3 linked regions of the Saccharomyces cerevisiae S288C genome follow. The protein of the gene in region 2 purifies or fractionates together with the protein of the main gene of each other region. This does not show direct contact. Each region holds a gene or a part of one and is shown on either strand. Other genes may lie near its edges.

Region 1 (3,766 bases), on a different chromosome or scaffold from region 2:
TTTAACCACGTACACACATATTTATTTACAAGGATACCAAACTTGATCTTATTAACGGAGGCTTAAAGTTGGCTCAAGAAATTGTTTTGCTTGATTCGCTGCCTGTTCGCCTTCCTTATGTTCTTTCTTCTCTTTAAGAGAGCCTGTCCCTCTGGGTCCTCAGCCGCATGTTCGACAACGTGATCACTATCCAATACGCTCCATAACCAATTTGGATACTCCTTGTCCTCGAGTGCCACTGCGTCTTTACCGCTCTTCCATATGTTTAAGTTAAGCGATGTTCCCGCAGGACACGACGACACCACTGACTTAACCGTGGGTTTATTATATAAGATACGACTGGTCGATATCAACCTGTAACCCAAACTGCGCGCCAACATCTTCAGTCTTCAGCAGCTATTTCCTTTGCTGTAGATATAACTGCTTTAAGAAGCCTATTAGTTTTTTCACTTTCGAGATTTTTGCGCCAAACAAGGGCGCACAAATACCCGGCATCACGCATTTATTATATGAAGAGAATATTAGAACAGGCATTTCAAAGCATGATTCAATGACTATAACATTGCTATAGAGGGGGTAGTGAAGAATTATCTAATGTACAAATGGTGAAGCAGTATATATGCGACAAAATACTAAAAAAAGTAGTGCAAAAAGAATTACTGCAGAAGTTGGTCTCTGTAGTGTGGTTGGTTATTGACGAACTTGGCACTTCTCTTATCGAGCCTTTTCTTGTCGAACCTCTCAGTTTGCCAAACACGCTGTTGAGTCTGCACGCCCTTTTTGTCGAAGGCAGGTAAGAACGATCTCGTCTCTGCAGCGACCAGGGTACCTTGGCCTTCGGTCAGTATCACCTCGGGCTTTAAGTCTTGCTTGTAGTATCTTTGCAAGGACCTGTGGCCAACTTTGATGCCTGTCGGTAGATGCAGCTCTATACCATCGTTATATAAGTACTCTTGTGGCAGATCTTCGTCGTCGCTTCCGGCTTCGTCGCTGCCCACGTCTTCCCAGTCATCTTCGTTGTCTGGTGTTGTGTTGCTATTAAAGTTTGCGTATGAGCTTGTAAAATCGTAGAATTCAGATATCTCCAACCTTTCATCCTCGCTTTCGTAGGGAATTTTACAGTGTCTCTTTGCCAACATGTGCTGTCTTACAGCGGTCAACGTTCTCCCCTGGTAATTACAAACAATACAAATGTTCCCAAGACCAATCTTCTCCGACATGTATTTTACCAAGCCGATCTTGTCGACTAGATATTTCTGTTCTGGGATATAAAACCCGTGGGTCCTAAACATGTGTTCCAGGTTTTCTTCAACATCTTTGAAGTGCTTATTGTGCTCACAAAATAGACATTGTTCCAGTGGAATATCGACTCTGTTGCGTAGCTTTTCTTGCATTACTCTTTCCGCCATTTCTTCCTCGGTCAACTGTTCAGGCTCCTCCTTCTTAGGTTCTTCCTTTTCCTTGTTCTCCTCATTTTCTTGCAAAGAGAGCTTGCTTAGGTCGGGAGTATTTCCCTCTTGGCTCTTTTGCATGTTTTCAAGCATATTAGCCCTGGCAATTTCCAACAGTTTCTTTTTCTTTTCGAGCAATGCTTGCTTTTCCCTTCTTTTCAACTCCTTTTTGGTAACAGGTTTCTCCTTTTCAGCAGACTTACTAGTACTGGCAGCAGCTGCAGACACTTTGGAGTCAAATGTCTCAAATGATATTGGTGGCAATTGTGCAACACGTCTTTTCAAATTGTAGCGATGCCAATCGGACTTCATGTGGGCCCGCTGCTCGTCGCTTGAATCAAAGGTCAGGACACATGAATTACACGTATAAACACCACTGCTACTCATCGTATTGTTACTGATATGCTCTCTTCTTGACTTCTAATGAGAAGCATCTCATAACCTGTACTAAAAGTGGAAAGAGGAAAATTTTTTTCACCTCATCGCATCGGTACCCATAAGAAAAACTTTCAAAATATAGTAAGAAAAGAGAATAAAAATAGGAAAATATCGCCGTGGTAATAATGTTATAATTAATATTTCGTATATACTTATACATGTACAAATAGCTACACCACTAGGGTTTGTCTTGAAAGAAATAAAGAGAGTCACGGGGAATATCGGGAATGAGAGTGGATGTGCTCTCAGTTGGCCTTCTTGCCGTCATTTTCACGAAACCATTTCCTGATATACCAGGAACAGCCAACCATGTAGAATGGCACGACCAGAATGTTTGATAGGACACCAAAAATCCATTGCAACGGAACAAAGCGGCTTTTCTTTGCGGTGAGCCCAAGGTCCATCCCCATTATCATCCATCCGACAAAATCTGTAAAAACGTCATCATCACCTCTGGCCAGCGACTTGGCAATGATATCACATGCTTGTTTGCATGGGATAGCGTCTGAGGGGCCTTCGATCAACTTTGTAATTTCGGGTTTCGTTAGCTGCTCTACAGTGAAACCTTCGCTTTCAAAATTACCAGGATAAACACAACTGATACGGAAGTTCGTCAGTTCTTGTCTTAAGATTGCTACCAGTGATTTGATTGCAGCTTTTGCAGGCGCATACTGGGAATAGCCCACAAATGGGTAAAGCGCGGTGGCACTAGAAAAGATGATGAGGTGGTGTTCCTTGGTTTGCTCTGCAAGGGCAATCTGATGTGCCACGTTCAAAGTTGTTTTATAGTTGATGTCCATACCCAAGTTCAACTCATGTCCGCTTAGCCCACGAAATAACTTAGGAACAGCCCCCCCTGCACAGCATAACGTTTGTGTAGGGAGTAAATCCAAGTCTCTCAGGGCATTGAACAAACATTCCACGGATTCGTAGCAGGACAAGTCGCATGGGTAGTAAAATAACCGTTGCTCAAGGTCCAAGGGCGCAGCCAACTTATGTTGCACTTGGCCCTCGTCAGTGGTTTCCCTTCTCAGGTGAGCTTCAATCCTAATTTCGTTGCATGTGTCCAGCAGTCTAGCCTCTGACCTACTGACGATAATAATCTTTGTGTTTTCAGCCTCATTATAATATTTTTTGGCGAATTCCTTTCCAAGACCTTGTGAACCACCAGTGATCAACACAACTTGGTCTTCTAACGTAAACTTCATTACCTACAAAAGATTATACCGATAACTTCTTTTCTTGAGGCAATCTTATTTAATCGCTTCCAGTAAATGCAGAGAAACTCCTCTGCATTTTTCATTTTTTTGTTTTTTTTTTGTCGTTTATTGTTTTTTAGCCTTACGTTTCACGTTAAGGAACAATGATAGTAAAATTACTCCAGGAAATACAAGTAGCACAAAATACGGAGGAATACGATATGGAAGCAACCATCAAAGTGGTACTGCTAGGAGATTCATCAGTGGGGAAAACCAGTATAGTGACTAGGCTCAAATCAGGTAAGTTTCTAGCAAAACATGCGGCTACGATAGGTGCGGCGTTCATCACCAAGACAATCGAGGTTCCTTCTAACGACTCCTCTACGGAGAAACGTATCCATATGGAGATATGGGACACGGCGGGTCAGGAACGGTATAAATCACTGGTGCCAATGTATTATCGAGATGCGAATATTGCTTTGATTGTATTCGAATTGGGAGACGTATCCAGTCTGCAATGTGCAAAGACATGGTTTCAAGATTTACAGGACCGTGCTCAGGGAACGCAGGTAATTATCGTGGGCAATAAGTACGATTTAGTCTGCGAAGAGCATTCAGGGGAAGTGACTATACCGGCGGAGTTACAGGGTCTGCCGTATGTGGCCGTAAGTGCAAAGA
Region 2 (3,481 bases):
TTTTCTTTTAGCTATCTTTAATTAGGTTAGAAAAGTGTATATTTCGCAAAAACGTATAGGCAAAAAAAAAGTGAAATACTGCGAAGAACAAAGATGCCTATCAATGCCATCACTTCCGACCATGTCATTATCAATGGTGCAAATAAACCTGCGACTATTGTGTATTCGACCGAATCAGGCACGATTCTGGATGTTTTAGAAGGCTCCGTGGTTATGGAGAAAACTGAGATAACCAAATATGAAATACATACGCTGGAGAACGTATCTCCATGTACAATTCTGCCTGGACTTGTGGACTCTCATGTTCACTTGAACGAGCCCGGTAGGACTAGCTGGGAAGGATTCGAAACTGGAACTCAAGCTGCTATTAGTGGCGGGGTCACAACGGTGGTTGATATGCCGCTAAATGCTATTCCTCCCACAACAAATGTGGAGAATTTCCGAATTAAATTGGAAGCTGCTGAGGGCCAAATGTGGTGCGATGTTGGGTTTTGGGGTGGACTGGTACCACACAACTTGCCAGACTTAATTCCGCTTGTCAAAGCTGGCGTTCGCGGGTTCAAAGGATTCTTGCTTGATTCTGGTGTGGAAGAATTCCCTCCAATTGGCAAAGAATATATAGAAGAAGCCTTGAAGGTCTTAGCCGAGGAGGATACCATGATGATGTTTCATGCTGAGTTGCCCAAGGCACATGAGGACCAACAGCAACCCGAGCAAAGCCATCGTGAATATTCTTCGTTTTTGTCCTCGAGGCCGGATTCTTTCGAAATAGACGCCATCAATTTGATTCTCGAATGCTTGAGAGCCAGAAATGGACCAGTTCCTCCTGTACATATAGTTCATCTGGCATCAATGAAAGCAATTCCCTTGATCAGAAAGGCACGTGCGTCAGGGCTACCAGTCACAACAGAGACTTGTTTCCACTATTTGTGTATTGCTGCAGAGCAGATCCCAGACGGAGCCACCTACTTTAAATGTTGTCCACCCATCCGCTCTGAGTCTAATCGCCAAGGCCTATGGGACGCTTTGCGTGAAGGTGTTATAGGCTCAGTAGTGAGCGACCATTCGCCATGCACCCCTGAGTTGAAGAACTTGCAAAAAGGTGACTTTTTCGATTCTTGGGGAGGAATCGCTTCCGTCGGACTAGGTTTGCCATTGATGTTTACCCAAGGCTGCTCTTTGGTCGATATCGTTACATGGTGCTGTAAAAATACATCCCATCAGGTAGGACTATCTCACCAAAAAGGCACTATAGCTCCCGGGTACGATGCTGATTTGGTGGTATTTGATACTGCAAGTAAACATAAAATAAGTAATTCAAGTGTCTACTTCAAAAACAAATTGACTGCCTACAACGGGATGACGGTCAAGGGCACAGTTTTGAAAACCATATTAAGAGGCCAGGTGGTATATACGAATGCCAACGGAGTCTCGAAAACACCATTGGGTCAAACTTTGCTTGATTCTAGACGTTAAACTAAAGTTGCAAATTTTTATTAAAGAAATTCTATAGAAATAAAAGAAACAAATTTATAAAAAGTTATTTACACACATACATATATTAACCACTCTTAGTTTGAGATGACACAACTTTTAATGATCTACAATATATCCATCTGGGTCTCCACGGCTGCAATTTTGAAATTTTCTTAGCGCTAAAAAAAAGAAATCTAACTGAAAAAAAAAATTATACCTCAGCTCATCGAATGCATCTAATACAGGTATAACGCAGAGAAAGCAGTAAAAGCAGCAAGAAATTACAGGGAAGATGGCTGGAAATGCAAACTCAGTAGACGAGGAAGTTACCAGGATATTAGGAGGCATATATCTTGGCGGAATCCGTCCAATTATTGACCACAGACCATTGGGTGCAGAATTTAACATTACTCATATTCTTTCTGTTATCAAATTCCAGGTCATTCCAGAGTATCTAATAAGGAAAGGTTACACGCTAAAAAACATACCCATCGATGATGATGATGTGACTGATGTGCTGCAATACTTCGATGAAACGAACCGATTCATTGATCAATGCTTGTTCCCCAATGAAGTTGAGTATTCGCCCAGATTAGTAGATTTCAAGAAGAAACCACAACGTGGTGCTGTTTTTGCTCATTGTCAAGCAGGACTCTCGAGATCTGTAACCTTCATAGTAGCCTACCTAATGTATCGTTATGGATTGTCACTATCAATGGCTATGCACGCTGTCAAGAGGAAGAAACCGAGTGTTGAGCCAAACGAGAATTTCATGGAACAATTACATCTCTTTGAGAAAATGGGTGGAGATTTTGTCGATTTCGACAACCCAGCCTATAAGCAGTGGAAGCTGAAGCAATCTATCAAGTTAGATCCATCGGGCAGCGAATTGGTCTCCAATTCTGGAATGTTTAAAGATTCGGAGTCGTCGCAAGACTTGGATAAATTAACTGAAGCTGAGAAGAGCAAGGTCACCGCAGTGAGATGTAAGAAGTGCAGAACCAAATTGGCGTTATCTACATCTTTCATCGCGCATGACCCACCAAGTAAGGAATCATCAGAGGGACACTTCATCAAGAGGGCCGCCAACTCCCATCGTATTATTGATATTCAAGAGTCACAAGCAAATTGCTCTCATTTTTTCATCGAACCTTTAAAATGGATGCAACCTGAACTACAAGGCAAGCAAGAGTTAGAAGGGAAGTTTTCATGTCCAGGCTGTTCAAGTAAAGTTGGCGGTTACAACTGGAAAGGATCTAGGTGCAGTTGTGGTAAGTGGGTCATCCCCGCTATCCACCTGCAAACTAGTAAAGTGGATCAATTTCCCTTACAATCCACTGCTTTGCCCAACATGGTTAATTTTGAATCCGAGAAAGTAAATAGATAACTTAGATATAATCAGCAAATATAACTACCACTAAGCACTTTTGGTGCACTTGTGTATGTATACATCTTAATAGATAGATGAATTTTGGTGCTGAGGAGAGCATTTTTCTAATCTTGACCTCGTTGCTGCCTGGCTCGTCTCTCCATTAATTCATCTAAACTAGTTATCCTCTCCCTAGTCCAATTCCTCCAATTACTCGCTAGATCAGGTGTAATCCCACCATAAGAAGTCGGCTCTTGGCTGTATTCGCTATTATAATCATGCTCTCTTCCCACGTCATCTTCAAAATCCGGATTCATGTCCAGTTCTACCTTTGAATCTTCTCCGTCGTTATCACTGTCAATATCATATGGGTTTCTATCTAAATGATGAGCCTCTTCCACAAACTGTTGTAGGGAGCGTGACAGTGAAGTGGGTCTCATTAATAAGTCATCCGGCACAATTCTCTCTCTCTGAACTTCTATACCTTCCACACCTTCCCCCGGCACTTCTCCCTCCTCATTATCATCCTCATCTACAACATGATCGAACTCTGCATCATAATCGTATGATATTTCATCCTCCTCTGATACTTCCTCATTTTGCGAATTATTAGCACTGTTATTCGCAAGTATGGCC
Region 3 (3,975 bases), on a different chromosome or scaffold from region 2:
AGCATTCCAATGCTCTTTGATGTAAAAATAGTTGCTTATCAAGATTCTTAAACTCGTCTAATACATTAAAATTGAAAATACTGCCCTGTAAAGGCACTTCATTAGTACGCTTATTATTGTGTTTTTCAAAGCTTCTATTTGTTAAGAATAATGGAACTTGATCAGCAGATTTAGGAATGTTGTGTAAATCTAGATTCACAGTAAGTGGTTGGCATGTTGAATCTAATTTCAGAACATCGAGTTTCAATCTCGATAATTCTTGGAAAAAAGATGTATCCAGAAATGATTTAAAAGCTGGTGCATAACTTAAGACCCTTTCTGACGACATTTTATTCTTGATTATCTTATATTTGTTGAAATATAATGAACTTTAGTTATCTAAGTAGCATCGTAAAATAATGAGTTCCCTTAATTTTTTTGTTTTGCCGTGCCGGAAAGGGTGTCCAAAGGAATCTCATGGATTAAAAAAGCGGAAGTTTAAAAATCTTGCGTAAGAGCTCTACAAATGAAAAATCTTGCTTGCCTATCTAGTTTTCAACATGTGGTGGCTTGTTCTTCCATAAAGTACATTTTACATCCATATATATGTATATAGATAAACTGAAATGCTAGTGTTTGTTAAGAGTATATACTACTCTCCATTCTTTGGTGTTTTTTTACTGCTGAGATTCAACGGGTGTGTTCTCGACTCCATCTTCTAATGTCATTTCATCTAACTCGTCCAATAATTCATCAATGTTGATTTGTGGAGCGTCTTCATCCTCGTCTTCATCCATTTCATGCTCTTCAGGAGGTACATTTGCTTCGCGGTTTTTGTATAGGTTAACACTTTGTCTTAATTCAGCATCCTCTTCTAATTCTTGTAAGAATAATTCGTAGTCCTTTTCTGCACGTTCCATTTCTTGCTTTTGAGCTCTTGAATTGTAATCTAAGGATGCATCGATATCTTTGTGTTCCTTAGCCATTCTCTTTAACTTCCAGTGTCTGCTCTTTTTGCTCTTTCTTTGATACAATTTCTTCACAAGAACTACATCAGGCACATAATCGATATTTAACCCATCAAAAAGATCTGAGTTGTAATTCGAGTTTGCAATGAAATAACCCATAACACTATCACCTGCATGGCAAATACCACCGAGATGAGACCTGACGTAGTAGACTTGGTCATTAACACCCAAGTCAGACGTTCTAGCAACAGTAATGTCAGCTAAGACACGATTTCCCCTGCTTATACCTGTAGAATCCACGTCCAGAACAATGAACTCCACCAACTGGGTCACATCAGCCAGGGCGTTGAATGGAGCCCTCCAGTACACAGATGGTGACAGATCCGCGGTTTGCAAAGTAGTCGGATCCATAAACTGGACAGTGTTAGAAATCTTAGAACATAGAACAAATTGAGAAATGTTACCCATAGATTTAGCCAGTTTTTTTGGTAAAACGACCAAGTCATCTTTACAGATAGGAACAATCTCGACAGAATATGAAAATTTATAAGTAGATGCACCAGTATGTGTATCTTGAGAAATAAGTTCTTCAGACTTTTTATGTTTAATCGGAACAACAGCGTTCAAAAAATCAATCATCTTAACTGCGTGGTTTTTTTGCGCATAGAAGAAATCCAACCCGTCCTTAGCTTCACTAATGGAAATGGTATCCACATGAGCATTATGTTTCAAAATCAGTTGTTCCAAAAACAAAAATGTTCTCTTGTGAGGCACTTTTTGTCTAATTTGGACAGTAGCCCTCCAAGTATTTGTAGTGTAGGATCTGGCACAGTCTGGACATTGCATCGCAATAACAATGTATTCTACTTCGAAAGTTTGCTGAATAATAGTATTTGTCATGGCTTCTCCCTGCACGGTAAGTTTAATTCTAATACGTCTAGAATGGGGTTCTGTCCAAATGAATGAAGCATCCACTAATCTGACTTTTGTTAGGCCCTTCAAACGACGCAAACAAATGGCCAGTAATTCTCTAGATTCTAATTCTGCTCTGATCCATTGTCCAGGTGGTTGCAAAAATCTTTCACAGTTTCTGCAAAATGAAATGTTCGCTTCTCTTGGAATACCTTGAGTAATGTCCACAGTCAGTTTGATACAGTCATAACACATAACCAGCCCAGTGGACCCATCGATTGGGGTACCACAGTTACAACATAGAAGAGTAGCAGCATTTTGGTGCTGGTGCGGATCTATAGGTGTGAATTCCATCCTTTTGTCAAATTCCTCAACGTTTATTAGACAATAAAATGTAGTGTTATGTACCAGGCGACAAATAAAAGATAAAGCCAAGGTTCCTCAAAACATAGTTAAATCATCACAACTGCTAGTAATTTTTCTTTTCCAATGCGATGAGCTTCAAAAAATTTTCCAACTACAAGAGAAAAAGAAAAAAAAATAAGTTACCCGTCGGTGATTGTACGTAATTGAATTTACAGCGATTTTCTCACCCGTTATATAGAAACATACTTCATATGTGCCAAAATTGTATCTATCAGTTGTCCTGGAAAACAGTATCCAGATTGTACGATATGTACGTCTTTAAATCTTATTTAGAATTTTTCAAGAGCGCAAACTTTTCCCGTCATTTTGCTTCTTCTTTTGCTGTCTTTTTCTCTCACCGAAGTTTTCCTTTTGCATTGCCATCAGCGATTCCCTCTTCGCCTTGGTTACCTTGGTCAAGGCTTTTCTTATTACAGCGGTATCGTGTACCTTGTTTGTCTCTGTCATCTTCTTGTTGATACGGTCCTCAATGGCCTGTATCCTAGAAACATCTCGCTGGGTAACGAATGATATGGCGTCACCAATTCTGCCAGCACGGGCCGTACGACCAGATCTATGGATGAATACATCTGGGTCTGAAGGTATATCGTAATTCACTACAAGCTCAACAGTTGGGATATCCAAACCTCTGGATGCTACATCTGTAGCGATGAGGATTCTTGCAGCGTTAGCTCGAAATCTATGTAAGGAATTTGTTCTTTCCTGTTGGGGCATTTGAGAGTGCAACGACGCTACCCTCACTTCCAACTGCTTCAGGGTTCTTCTAAGGATCTCCGCGGTCATTGTTCTATTTACAAATATTATAGCGGTTTTATTCTCATATTCCTCGCATGTTAATAATTGGTACAAATATGCTTCTTTGACGTGTTCTGGAACCAAGATATACTCTATTTTCAACGTCGATGGAATAGCCACATTATCTACACTTTCTACTTGGTAAGCGAACAATGGGGGTTTCCCTTTCTGCACTGGTGCATTTTGTAACGACTTTACTTGGTCCGTTATAGTTGCAGTGAATAGAAGTGTTTGTCTCTTATCCTTGGGAGGTAGAGCACTTATACATGTTGCTAAATGATCGGCAAACGTGCTAGTTAGCAAAATATCGGCTTCATCTAGAACTAAATATTTAGCTCTCATTAGCCCTCCAACGGTATCATCTCCGCTGCTCATGATATGATGTGCCAGACGTCCAGGCGTGGCAATAATAAAGTGCGGCTTCCTTTGTAAATCCAATGCCTGCTGAACGATGCTTTCACCACCAACTATAACTGACACGCGAATGTTCATACTGCTACCAAGTGCAGTAAATTGTTCGGCAATTTGCATGGCTAACTCTCTGGTTGGGGTCAAGACCACTCCAAACATCCCTGACGGATCTTCGGACCATTTAGTCAGCATAGGCCCTGCAAATGCAATAGTTTTACCAGAACCAGTCTTGGCACCACCAATACAATCTCTTCCTTCTAAGATTTTGGGAATACAAGCCTTTTGGATAGCGGTTGGCTGAGTAATTTTCATAGCTCTTAAGGATTCCGTAAGCCATTTTGAAAGACCTAAAGATTTAAAGTCTGCCATCTTGAAAAGTTTCTGATATGATGCTACGGAGATCTAAAGCGTCTGTATTATACGACTGATAATATTCCTATACAATTATTTATTCAAAAACTAAGTAAATTGCCAGTTTATATTT

What was found.
Region 1: the proteins of YVH1 (region 2) and REI1 purify together in Saccharomyces cerevisiae (affinity purification with western blotting; 2 studies listed by BioGRID, with this or other methods). This does not show direct contact.
Region 3: the proteins of YVH1 (region 2) and NMD3 purify together in Saccharomyces cerevisiae (affinity purification with western blotting; 7 studies listed by BioGRID, with this or other methods). This does not show direct contact.

Annotation. Positions count from the first base shown.
Region 1 is NC_001134.8:737,913-741,678, reverse strand, and holds REI1 (Rei1p), read right to left. Parts: upstream 1,839-3,766; coding exon 657-1,838; downstream 1-656. Other genes in the region: mitochondrial 54S ribosomal protein mL54 MRPL37, read right to left, coding at 63-380; SLM6 (Slm6p), read left to right, coding at 1,291-1,743; TSC10 (3-dehydrosphinganine reductase), read right to left, coding at 2,135-3,097; Rab family GTPase YPT10, read left to right, coding at 3,310-3,766. UniProt on the Saccharomyces cerevisiae protein: Pre-60S-associated factor involved in the cytoplasmic maturation of the 60S subunit. Involved in the dissociation and recycling of other late pre-60S factors like ARX1, TIF6 and ALB1 before newly synthesized large ribosomal subunits enter translation.
Region 2 is NC_001141.2:404,255-407,735, reverse strand, and holds YVH1 (tyrosine protein phosphatase YVH1), read left to right. Parts: upstream 1-1,768; coding exon 1,769-2,863; downstream 2,864-3,481. Other genes in the region: DAL1 (allantoinase), read left to right, coding at 94-1,476; MND2 (Mnd2p), read right to left, coding at 2,971-3,481. UniProt on the Saccharomyces cerevisiae protein: May be directly involved in signal transduction and/or cell cycle regulation. It is necessary for maintaining growth rate or spore germination. Could show both activity toward tyrosine-protein phosphate as well as with serine-protein phosphate.
Region 3 is NC_001140.6:442,066-446,040, reverse strand, and holds NMD3 (ribosome-binding protein NMD3), read right to left. Parts: upstream 2,214-3,975; coding exon 657-2,213; downstream 1-656. Other genes in the region: ATG7 (Atg7p), read right to left, coding at 1-328; ATP-dependent RNA helicase DBP8, read right to left, coding at 2,565-3,860. UniProt on the Saccharomyces cerevisiae protein: Acts as an adapter for the XPO1/CRM1-mediated export of the 60S ribosomal subunit. Unlikely to play a significant role in nonsense-mediated mRNA decay (NMD).